Linked DNA regions of Macaca mulatta. The protein of the gene in region 1 interacts with the protein of each later gene in a biochemical or structural test. Links are inferred from orthologs where the notes say so. Each region holds a gene or a part of one and is shown in the gene's direction. Other genes may lie near its edges.

Region 1 (3,644 bases):
TTGTCAGGTCCCCCAGGTGCACCCACCTGGGCTACAGCTGACATCATGCAGACCCGGACGCAGCCTCCTCCCCTGAACACCCAGAACATCTCCATCCCCTGTGACCCAGCTCAATACCAAACCTGCCTCTGTCTCCCCAAGGTGTAAACCCTTCTCATTCCTTAAAATGCAAAGTGAGTTCCCTGCTATGCCCCCAGATAGAGCCCCTCCTCACACACCCTGAAAACAGTCCCCCAGCTACCCTTCCAAACCCAGCACTGCACCAGCTCCACTCCCTCCTCTCTCACATGCAAATACAGCCCCTTCCCCACGTACACAGCCTCAAATGCACTTTCCCAAATAGACAAACCCATACACCCACAAAATACATACACGGCGTCAGCTGCACAGTCTAATTTTAAAATACTCTTCTCCCCCTGCCCCCGCCAGGACACTTGATTCCTCTTCATATGCGGGTCAAGATGGGCTGCCCCCAAAGACAGCCATTGAGAAGCACCCCAATGCATGGATGCTCCAGCTAAATGGCCCCTCCCCTCTCTCCCTCAGATTCTTTCCTGAAGAGCCCCTAATGCAGTCAGACACCAGCCACAAAGATCTTCAGTATACCCCTGGAGTTAACAGACCCTGTTCATGTATCTCCCATGCACACTCACTCCCAAACCCACATCCTGCTCATGCACGCCCCTCCCAGCCTCCAGACCTGTGCTATCCAAGCCAGTAGCCAGTGGCCACCTGGGGCTGTTTAAATTTAAATTAATTAGAGTGAAGTAAAATTAAAATTTCAGTTCCTCAGGCTCACTAGCCACGTTCAAGTGCTCAGGGGACCACACGTGCCTGCCATATAGGGTGATGCAGTTGCAGACCATCCCCACGATGGTGGAATGTTCTGTTGGATGGCACTGCTACAGGCTGTCCTCATACAAGGTTGCTGCCAACACTTTCTCCTATTAATGCTCATTACTGCCAGCCTTCCACACCCAGAGTTGTCTTTCAAGGGGGAGCAGGAAGTGGCCTGCAGCCCCAGTGAGGCCGGCCCGATCCTTGCCCCCTTATCCAAGCTCACTTGTCTGTCCCCTGGCTTCCTGCTATGCCCCTTCTTTGAGATCCTGGACCTAATAACACCTCCCACTTGGCCAGAGACCCTCCAGCATCCAGACTCTGGCCTCTCATTTGTCCCCAACAACCCACCTGTAGGAGGTGGAATGGATGGGTACTGTGGCCCCTAATGCCCTTCAATGGCTCATCCAAGGTCACCCCCAGGGGAAGGGTTGGGTGGGATGTCAGAGTGCCAGGGTCCTCTGGAGGCATCTACCCAAGTCCCACGTTGTTCACAGGGGATCAGAGTGGCCCAGAGAGGGAAAGGGCCGGCCTCAAGGTCGCACAAGGGCATCATGGCAGAACTAAGACTGTCACTGTCATTGGCCACTGTGGGTCACCCAGGACAGTCCAGTTCCCCTGGCCCTTCAGAATGAGCTGGTTAATGTGTGACTGTCATCTGTGTTTTTCTACTGGGTTCTCTTTCCATTCCTAGGCGCTCCTGGACCTTGGGGGTTCCCCCAACTACAAGGACCGTCGGGGGCTGACCCCTCTGTTCCACACGGCTATGGTGGGTGGTGACCCCCGATGCTGTGAGCTGCTCCTGTACAACAGGGCCCAGCTGGGCATAGCTGATGAGAACGGCTGGCAGGAAATCCACCAGGTGCTCCTGATTCACGCCATGAAGGGCTGGGGTGGGGGACCCAGTCTCTGAGGCATCCAAGGGACTGGGGCTGGGAACCAGATGCCAGGGTCCTCACAGAGCATGGGGGTAAGAATAACATGGTCCCCAAAGAGGAAATGATGGGGGTGAAGACACGAAGACCCTAAGGGGGCATAGGCAGGGGAACCAGACGCCTTGATCCCTAAGAGGGATGGGCTGGCCTCTTGGCCCTCTGAAGGAGGCAGACCAGACTCCTGGGCCTTGGAATGACTGAACATTTGGATTGTGAGGCTGACAGCCTGGGTCCCAGAGCAGGAAGAGGGGCAAAAAGGTGATGGGGAGGTGGATGTGGTGAAGGATAGGATGAGAAGGCCAGTGTACAGGTTGTGTACAGACTCTTGGCCCAGAGGGAGAACAGCCTGGGTCTGATCCATGCCCCTCGCTCCCTGTCCTGCCCAGGCCTGCCAGCGGGGTCACTCTCAGCACCTGGAGCATCTGCTCTTCTACGGGGCTGAGCCTGGAGCCCAGAACGCCTCAGGGAATACAGCTCTGCACATCTGCGCCCTCTACAACAAGGTCTGCCTAGCAGTGGCCGCCCCAGGCCCCTCGCATCCCTCATAGCTGCCTCCCCCAGGGCCAAGCTCAGATACTCCTCTTGACTGCATCACTGCACCCTTCACTTCTTCACTATTTCACCCTTTCATCCAGTCATCCATTCACCCATCCATCCATCCATCCATCCATCCATCCATCCATCCATCCAACAGATATTTACTGAGCTCCTTCTCTGTATCAGACCCGGAGCTGGGTGCTGGGGATAAAGTGTTGAGCTCATGGCCTAGCAGAGGGCAGACAACATAGTTTGCTGCTACAATCCAGAGTGCTCAGAGCAAAGTCACAGGGAATGCAGATCCCTGTGGGAGCCCCCATCTGGGACTGGGCTTGAGATAGAGTGGCTGGGGGTGGAGGTGGCTTCCCGGAGGAGGTGTCCCTAGTATTGAGATGAGCAGGAGTAGAAAAGGGGAGAAAGGGGTGCTCCAGGGTGGGGGCACAGCCTGTGCAGAAAACCAGAGGAAAGGGGGCTATGGGTCCTCAGTTCCCCTGTGTCTCCATTCAGCCAGTGGTGTGTGCAGGTGCCACGTGGTGGCACGGCAGGGCACAGGGGAAAGTTCAACGTGCAGCCACTGTGGCCCCTGAAGGGAACGAGTGATATGGGAGTTTTAGCAATTCAGGACCTTGGGGGTCCTGACAACCTGGGTCCCTGAGCAGGAAGGGAGTGCTGAAGGAAGACGGGAAGGACATCCCCACTTCCAGAGTTCCTAGGAGAGGAGAGGGACGGAGCAGGCAGGGGATCTCATGGCAGCTGGTTGGCAAGAGCCAGAGCTTTCAGTATCATGACCTCTGGTACTTTAGCCGCCTGTGCTGCAGATGATCCTGGGCAGGTCAGCCCTATGGAAAGCCTCAGTCTCCCCACCTGTTTCTCGATGTTCCCTGCCCTTGAAGGGCAGCTGTGGGGGTACTTAGAGGGACAGGCGCTCGCATGACAGAGCTGGTCTATCAGCCCCCTTCCTCCAGGAAGTCTTCCAAAACAGCCCTCAGCCCCCTCTGCCTCAGCAGAACTTACAGTGCTGGGGATTTGGCGGGTGGCCACGTGCTGCCTGGTGGCAGCCAGCAGCATGCCTGGAGTCCAGGGAAGACTCAGTGCTTTTCAAACCGAACCAACATGGTTCCGGCACTTCTCTCCCTGTGTGCTTCTGCCTCCTGCTCTGCGACGCGCAGGCCTCGCAACCAATCCTATGACTCCCAGGCCCTTGTGCAGCTGATGGGGAAGAAGCCCCGGCCCCACGGGCAGATGGGGGTGGGGGAGGAAAAAAGTCCCCCCGACTCTTTGAGGCGCCATCCTTCTTCCTGAAACGGGAATAACGCCAGCTTTTATTGAAGAGGA
Region 2 (4,333 bases), on another chromosome or scaffold:
GGGGACAAGAGCGAGACTTCCCTCAAAAAAAAAAAAAAAAAAAAAAAAAAAAAGAAAGAAAGAAAGAAAGAAAGAAAGAAAAATTAAGGCACAGTACGTGAACTTGAAGAACATACAGTTCTGTTTTAACACTTATGTAATCAGCCCGGTGCTGTGAGAAGTGCTTTACATTGTCTCATTTGATTTACTTAATAAACTCCTATTTGAATCAAATGGAGTGGGGTAGGGGTTTCCTGGAATTTGGCTTACCTCGCCATCTCCCCCCACCCTTTCCCTTCAGTGGAAAGGGAACCAGAGAGAAAAGAAATTGAGCTGCTCTGAAGGGCAAGGCCTCCTCCCACTTCCCGCAGCTGTTTCGCCAGGCTTGACCTTCTTCCCTTAGCTAGAGGCAGGGGGTCTCCACCCCTCGCCCAGATCTAGTCGGTGGGAAGGTGGGTGGCTTTTTTCGGGTCATTGGCGCACCCTCCCTACTCCTAGCCACCTGCTCGGGTTCCATCCCAGCTCCAGGCTCCCTGGAGGGCGGCAGGGACATTCCAATCCTCCCACAACCCTCACGGATGTTGCGGGGGAGGGGGGCGCAACTGCTCTTCTCTTCCAGCACCCAGCTTTGACCCGGTTTCTTCTCAATCCCTAGTGGCCTGAGTCACCCCCGTAGAGGAAATTAAGGATTGATGAATGGTTTGAAAGTTGTTTGTTTACAACCCACCCGTTGGCGAAGCCGCATCTCCAGTGACAGAGGCACTTTCTGGGCACCGTCTGTGCTCTAGCAGACAATTGAGAGCCAGGCAGCCAAGATGCCTCCTCGCCAGACCAAATATGGTCACAAGAGCTAAGCAGCCTCTCGTGGAAAGGCTGGCCTTGTTGGAGTCTCCCCACGCCGGGGCGCACCCGGGCCGGCCTTCGGGCAGAATCGCTGGTCAGCGCGGCGCTCCGGGTGCTGCCGGCCTCGGCGTCTGGCTGCAGGGGAGGGCGCGGTGTCCAGGACCGGCCCTTCCTAGGCCTGAGCCCCTCATCCGCTTGCCCTCCGCCACCCCCGGCCTTGGTTTCGGTCCACAAGCCCTTGATGAAACAGGCTCAGGCCACTTTCCCTTTGATCCCGCCCCAAGTCCGTGGTAAACTCAAAGGAACGCAGATGCAGGGCTCCGCGGGAGAGGTCCGCGTGGCCGGGAGCAGTGGGTGGGGGGCACCCGTCTCCTCTTACCCAGTAAAGTACCCATCACGCCCAGGGTTTTCTGGAGCCGGAGTGGGAGGAGGAGGAGGAGGAAGAGGAGGGGCGAGCGGGGGCCGGCCGGCTCGGGACTAGGAGGTCATACATAATTCAACAGCTCAACTTTCGGGCCCGCCTCTTTCCTGGGGGTGGGAGTTTGCTCCAAACTTTGTTTATGGGACAGTCCGGGAGCTGCTGCGGCCGCGCTGTCTGCTTCTCCTGCGCCTCCTTTTCGCCCAGCGCGAGCTCCTTAGGCCAGCTCGGGGGATGTGAGAGCCGAAGCCCCTAGACTGCCAGGCACCGAGTCGGGTCAGGATTTGTCAGCCAAGCCTCGGCTCCAGCTCCGCAATCTCGGGACTCACCCGAGCGACCCAGGCCCGACGGCAAGTTCGGGCGGGACGGCGGCCGCCTCGCTCTCAGGCTCAGCTTCGCTGCCCGCCCAGGTAGTGCCCGCTGGAGCTCGCGCGCTCACCCGGCACCACTCCAGGGCTCCAGGCTCCCCAGGCTTCCGGAGTCGAGACGTGGTGGAGTTGGCTCGGGCTGAACTTCTTTCGGGGGGCTGCCTGTCCGGGAAAGCTGCGACCTTTCCTTTGCCATCCTGCGGTTCAGCAAGCCTCGAGTGCAGTTACTCCCTCCACCCCTCGCCCTTCCTTCTCCTCCTCCCGGCAACTTCTTTGCTTCAAGAAAGTTGCATAATTCTCGAGGCCAGGAGGGACCCCTCCCCCATCCTGCTGGTCTCACCGCTGAGTGTCTGGGATCTCCAGGCGGGCAATTATCTGTCTCCTCGTTTCCTTTTCCCTCTATTCTTCCTCCCACCATCTCGCCCTCTCACCCTATAACCCTTTTACCCACTTCCTCCGACTTTAAATAAAAGACTGATCTGACCTTCTTTTTGCAGAAGATGAATCCGGCCTCGGCGCCCCCTCCGCTCCCGCCGCCTGGGCAGCAAGTGATCCACGTCACGCAGGACCTAGACACAGACCTCGAAGCCCTCTTCAACTCTGTCATGAACCCGAAGCCTAGCTCGTGGCGGAAGAAGATCCTGCCGGAGTCTTTCTTCAAGGAGCCTGATTCGGGCTCGCACTCGCGCCAGTCCAGCACCGACTCTTCGGGCGGCCACCCGGGGCCTCGACTGGCTGGGGGTGCCCAGCATGTCCGCTCGCACTCGTCGCCCGCGTCCCTGCAGCTGGGCACCGGCGCGGGTGCTGCGGGTAGCCCCGCGCAGCAGCACGCGCACCTCCGCCAGCAGTCCTACGACGTGACCGACGAGCTGCCGCTGCCCCCGGGCTGGGAGATGACCTTCACGGCCACTGGCCAGAGATACTTCCTGAAGTAAGTCAACTTGGAGCCGAAGACGGCACCAAGGCACAGTGCCCAACGCGCGCGTGTGTTCGTGTGTGTATGTGTGTGTGACACACACACAGAGAGAGAGAGATGGTGTGTGTCCTTCCACGGTTATTTCACAGATATGGAGAGCTGGAAGCAGGGAGTGAGTCTCTGGGTGTTGGAATTGTAGGGATCAGAAGCGGAGGAGAGTGTGGTGAAGTTCATCCACCATAAAACACACAGGTGACTTTGCTCTGAATCTGCAGGATTGAAGCCAACTCCTGGGCACAGACCCTTAGTCCCTTCCTTGGCCACTCTGAGTCAGATAGTCCAGAGCCAGGCCCTTTGGGATGTGACACCAAGATAAATGAGAGAAAAGCTGTGAAGCTTGAGGAACAGAGGGACTTTTGGTGAAGTAGGTGGTCTGCAGGTTCTGTCTTCTTGGGAAAAGCAAGCTGGAAAAGTGAACAGTGGCTGGTAGGCCGTAGTGCTCCCAGCTGGGTGACATAATGACCACACAGCACAGTGATGTAATTAGCAACTGTGTGGTGAAGTAGCTGTGGGCTGGACAAATCAATCGTGTGGAAATTGTGTCAGGAGTTTTATTACATTAAACTTGTTAACCTAAAATACCATCAAATCACAAGCCTGCTCTTCTTCCTTTCACATTGTTCCAGCTTTTTGATGTCATGAATTTTACATTAGTTCAAATTATCACATTACACCCCACAGGAAAATATATTCTCAAACACTAGAGGAGATTGTTTCAATTGCGGTACCCTAAGATAACTACATTCTTCAGGAGAAACCAAGCTGGAACTTGAAATGTTCCATCGAGGTCATAGGGTCAGACTATCAAAGATGGAGGTTGTGCCAGCCTGACCACTTGGTTCAGGATTGCCTGCACTGCCAGTGAGGGAAACTCCTCTCCTAAAAAACTGACTTAGATTTCATTTTAAAGCCTATATTTCTTTAGTAGAGTAGCCTTAGTTCAAAAGACTATGTACAATTTTAAAACTTTAATCAAGCCTTTCTTTGGCACTAATATTTGATGCTTTGATTGCTATGAGAGAGCTTTAAGAATGCATACACAGTGATGGATGAAGTTTACTATAGTGAACCCTTTGACTCATACCAGTGACCAATTCCTATTCCTTCCCCATCTCAAGGCTGTTAGTATCTTGTTCAAGGAGTTCTTTTTGTGTTTCTGAGGTTGGTATAATGCTGAGATTCTGAAACAGACTTGATGGTCATTTATGCCACGGCTGGTCTTCTCTGGGTTATTGAGTGATAGTTTGTACATGTGCTCAGTCCTTTGACTTCTAAGTAGCGGGTGGAGTCAAGTATGTGATGTAATAACATGACTTTTTTTTTTTTTTTTGAGACAAAGTCTCACTCTGTCACCCACGCTGTAGTGCAGTGGGACAATCTTGGCTCACTTGCAACCTTCGCCTCCCGGGTTCAAGCAATTCCCCTGCCTCAGCCTCCCGAGTAGCTGGGATTACAGGCACCCACCACCATGCCTGGCTAATTTTTGTATTTTTAGTAGAGTGGAGGTTTCACCATGTTAGCCAGGCTGGTCTCGAACTCCTGACCTCAAGTGATCCGCCTGCCTCATCCTCCTAAAGTGCTGGCATTACAAGCTTGAGCCACCTTGCCCAGCCCTACATAATTTCTAAACTGTGTTTATGAATATATACACACATACGTATGGTATATGATCAGCATTAACTGTGATTATTAAAAATATGAAATAAGAGCTAAGCTTGCCTAATATCTGAGGAAAACTAGATGAAAAAG
Region 3 (3,644 bases), on another chromosome or scaffold:
GCCCTGTGCAGCTGGGAGCCGTGGATGGTCTTGTCAGGCTGTGTGTGAGCCTCTGTCGGAAGAGCTGTTGGCAGGACAAGCGTTTTCTTAAAGGTAGGGTTGTCCTTGTTTGTCTTCAGTGCTAGAGAAGCTGAATCTTTCCCAACAACAAAAAAATTTGCTTATTAAGCTGATCAGTGCAGTTAGTCCCTCCCTTTAAAACACGTGTAAACACAGGAGCCCCAGCAAGATATGTCAGCCCCTGGGGACACTTAGGGTATCTGGAAGGTGACAGTGGGAAGTGTCGTGGGGTTCTGGCAGGACTTGGGTTCTTGCACTGAAGTCCTGTGTGCACCCCACAGTATGCAGGGCCAGGGCTTCTGACTCGGATCAGTTGCCCTAGGGGCTGCCTTCGCTCCTCCTCCTGAGAACAGGCGAACATTTAAAGGTAGTAAGTTCGTACTTTTAAAAACATCCCTCACTGGGGCTTCTGCCTTCATCCTCTCCTCCTAAAGTTTGGAGACCTCACTACCTAATCTTTCTCTCGGACAAACCACTTGCTTCTTCCTGGGCTCCTTGCTGAGCGTCCGGGACCACCCTGACTGAGAGACAGTGTCCCAGCAGAGAACCTGCTTCACAGTTGCATGATGCCCTTTGCTTTCCCAGCCCACCGCAGATCCTCCTTCAACTTCGAGTGCCTGCGCCGGCAGAGCAGCCAGGAGGAGGTCCCTTCATCTCCCACCTTCCCCCACCGCACGGCCCTGCCTCTGCATCTCATGCAGCAACAGGTGAGTGGCCCACCTGGTCTCGCCCCCATGCCCAGGGGCACCCCACATAGGACCCACCATCAGGTCTCTCCCTTCTCTTTGGCCTTAAGCACCAGGAGGGAAGGAGAGAATCTTCACCTACAGTCTGGTTAATCTTTGTAACAATCCTGCCAAATAGCTGTCGCCATGAGCCCCATTCTGCCCAAGCTCACACAAGCAAGCGACCGCTGGCATTGGAATCCGAGCCAGCTGCCAACGCTGGCCTCTCTACCCAGGTGCCTCCCTGCGACCCCCACCACCTCTTCCGGGCATTGAATACGGAGCCTGATGTGATCTGAGCTCAGGGGGCGGGGGCCACTTGGCTGACTCTGAACAGTCGGTGCAGCCCTTCATTTTCTCTAAAGTGCTTCCTTCGTTAAGTGTATGGGTCCCTCCGTGGGCAGGGCCGTGTGGGCACTATGCGGGCTTCACCTCCCCTGCCTACCAAGGGAGCAGTCTGGGGAGGACAATTTGCCCATATTGAGGGCGGCTGCACAGGCAGGAGGGTGGGGCCAGAGCCCACTCACCAGGGCTTTCCCTCGAGGATAAGAATATGGCGCTTTTTCTTTCTGAAAATATGACATCAGAGGTGCTATTCATTCGTGCACGATGGGGTGGTGGGCATGGACCTGTGCTGTTTACAGACTGGGTTCCCCGTCCTTCTCTGCAGAGTGAACCCTAAGGTGCATCTGCCGTGGTGGGATTGTAGGACCGGGCTTGTACACAGTGCTTTAGCACATGCAAAATGCCAGCTCTAGGATGCATTATTCCAGAGCAAAGAGAACCAGCTATGTTTTCCTGTAAGTGCTAGGAAGTGGTAGTTTCCCCTGAAGGTACTTCGGTATTTAAACCCAGCATGAACTGGGTGGTGTGTTCACACCCACGGCTTGTTGGGCTTCCCTGATTCTTCTTCATTCTGAAGCAATTTCATGAATTAGCAACTGATAACTCCTTGGGAAAAGCCATAGGAAATACATTATAGATTCGGGGTAAAAGAAAAAGTCTGCTAGAAAACCAAGTCGTCACTGCCCATTCATTCAGTGTACCCATGTCTCTTCCAAGTCTTTGCCTGGACTGCCCCTGGAGAACGCAGCGCCCGTGCTTGGTCTGTGTGCAGGAGGTTTGAGGCCCGGACCTCTGAGAACCTCTGGTCTCCCAACGCTCCTCTCTCTCCTCAGATCATGGCAGTTGCTGGCCTAGATTCAAGTAAAGCCCAGAAGTACTCACCGAGTCACTCGACCCGGTCATGGGCCACCCCTCCAGCAACCCCTCCCTACCGGGACTGGACACCGTGCTACACCCCCCTGATCCAAGTGGAGCAGTCAGAGGCCCTGGACCAGATGAACGGCAGCCTGCCATCCCTGCACCGAAGTTCCTGGTACACAGACGAGCCCGACATCTCCTACCGGACTTTCACACCAGCCAGCCTGACCGTCCCCAGCAGCTTCCGGAACAAAAACAGCGACAAGCAGAGGAGCGCAGACAGCTTGGTGGAGGCAGTGAGTATGGCTCTTGGCCATGGTGGGCAGGAAGCACCAGGAGCAGCAGAGGTGCAACTGCAGCAGCAGGAAGGGCAACAGCAGGAAGGGCAGTGGTGGGAGGGCGGCCAGGCTGTGAGCCAGGCTGCCTCAATCGGACACTTCTGAGCAGCAGGAATGTACCTGAAGCATGAGTAAAAACTGGTCACCACCACTGGGTGTGGTGGCTCATGCCTGTAATCTCAGCACTTTCGGAGGCCGAGGTGGGTGGATCACCTGAGGTCAGGAGTTCAAGACCAGCCTGGCAAACTTGGTGAAACCCCATCTCCACTAAAAATACAAAAATTACCCTGACATGGTGGTGTATGCCTGTAACCCCAGCTACTTGGGAGGCTGCAGCAGGAGAATCACTTGAACCTGGGAAGTGGAGGCTGCAGTGAGCCGAGATCACACCACTGCACTCCAACCTGGGTGATAGAGGGAGACTCCATCTCAAAACACACACACACACACACACACACACACACAAACAAAAACTGGTCACCACCATTGATTCTCATAAATGAGCTGTGCTGGCATTATAGGTGCTGTTCCAGCATATGTTTCTAGTTTATACTAAATGTCTTTCCCCAGTGGGTTTCACTCTTGTTGGACCATGTGTAGTTTTTTAGCTCCGGGACATTTTCAAAGCCATTTACATTAGTTATTATGTATGAGGTCTAGAAAACATGATTGAGCTGCATCCCCAAAGCACACGGTGCAGTTAGCACTGGAGTTTTCTGTCATCCCCCTGCCCTGCAAAGCCTTATAACACCCCCATGCCATCCATCCCTCTTTCCTGTACAGGTCCTGATATCTGAAGGCTTGGGACGCTATGCAAGGGACCCAAAATTTGTGTCAGCAACAAAACATGAAATCGCTGATGCCTGTGACCTCACCATCGACGAGATGGAGAGTGCAGCCAGCACCCTGCTTAATGGGAACGTGTGTCCCCGAGCCAACGGGGATGTGGGCCCCCTCTCACACCGGCAGGACTATGAGCTACAGGACTTTGGTCCTGGCTACAGCGACGAAGAGCCAGACCCTGGGAGGGATGAAGAGGACCTGGCGGATGAAATGATATGCATCACCACCTTGTAGCCCCCAGCGAGGGGCAGACTGGCTCTGGCCTCAGGTGGGGCACAGGAGGGCCAGGGGAAAAGTGCCTCATAGTTAGGAAAGTTTAGGCACTAGTTGGGAGTAATATTCAATTAGACTTTTGTATAAGAGATGTCATGCCTCAAGAAAGCCATAAACCTGGTAGGAACAGGTCCCAAGTGGTTGAGCCTGGCAGAGCACCATGAGCTCGGCCCCAGCTGCAGGAAACAGGCCCCGCCCTCTC

The links.
Region 2: the proteins of SHANK1 (region 1) and WWTR1 interact in a test that uses a peptide from one of them, tested with the Homo sapiens proteins (2 studies listed by IntAct, with this or other methods). The link is inferred for Macaca mulatta from reciprocal best matches to the Homo sapiens genes SHANK1 and WWTR1.
Region 3: the proteins of SHANK1 (region 1) and CACNA1D interact in a biophysical measurement, tested with the Homo sapiens proteins (2 studies listed by IntAct, with this or other methods). The link is inferred for Macaca mulatta from reciprocal best matches to the Homo sapiens genes SHANK1 and CACNA1D.

What each region holds. Positions count from the first base shown.
Region 1 is NC_133424.1:63,103,642-63,107,285, reverse strand, and holds part of SHANK1 (SH3 and multiple ankyrin repeat domains protein 1), read left to right. Parts: intron 1-1,531; coding exon 1,532-1,699; intron 1,700-2,158; coding exon 2,159-2,275; intron 2,276-3,644. UniProt on the Homo sapiens protein: Seems to be an adapter protein in the postsynaptic density (PSD) of excitatory synapses that interconnects receptors of the postsynaptic membrane including NMDA-type and metabotropic glutamate receptors via complexes with GKAP/PSD-95 and Homer, respectively, and the actin-based cytoskeleton.
Region 2 is NC_133407.1:52,658,994-52,663,326, reverse strand, and holds the start of WWTR1 (WW domain-containing transcription regulator protein 1), read left to right. Parts: upstream 1-1,389; 5' UTR 1,390-1,650; exon of another isoform or gene 1,651-1,805; intron 1,806-2,105; 5' UTR 2,106-2,108; coding exon 2,109-2,539; intron 2,540-4,333. UniProt on the Homo sapiens protein: Transcriptional coactivator which acts as a downstream regulatory target in the Hippo signaling pathway that plays a pivotal role in organ size control and tumor suppression by restricting proliferation and promoting apoptosis.
Region 3 is NC_133407.1:117,386,986-117,390,629, forward strand, and holds part of CACNA1D (voltage-dependent L-type calcium channel subunit alpha-1D), read left to right. Parts: intron 1-645; coding exon 646-767; intron 768-1,963; coding exon 1,964-2,284; intron 2,285-3,109; coding exon 3,110-3,403; 3' UTR 3,404-3,644. UniProt on the Homo sapiens protein: Voltage-sensitive calcium channels (VSCC) mediate the entry of calcium ions into excitable cells and are also involved in a variety of calcium-dependent processes, including muscle contraction, hormone or neurotransmitter release, gene expression, cell motility, cell division and cell death.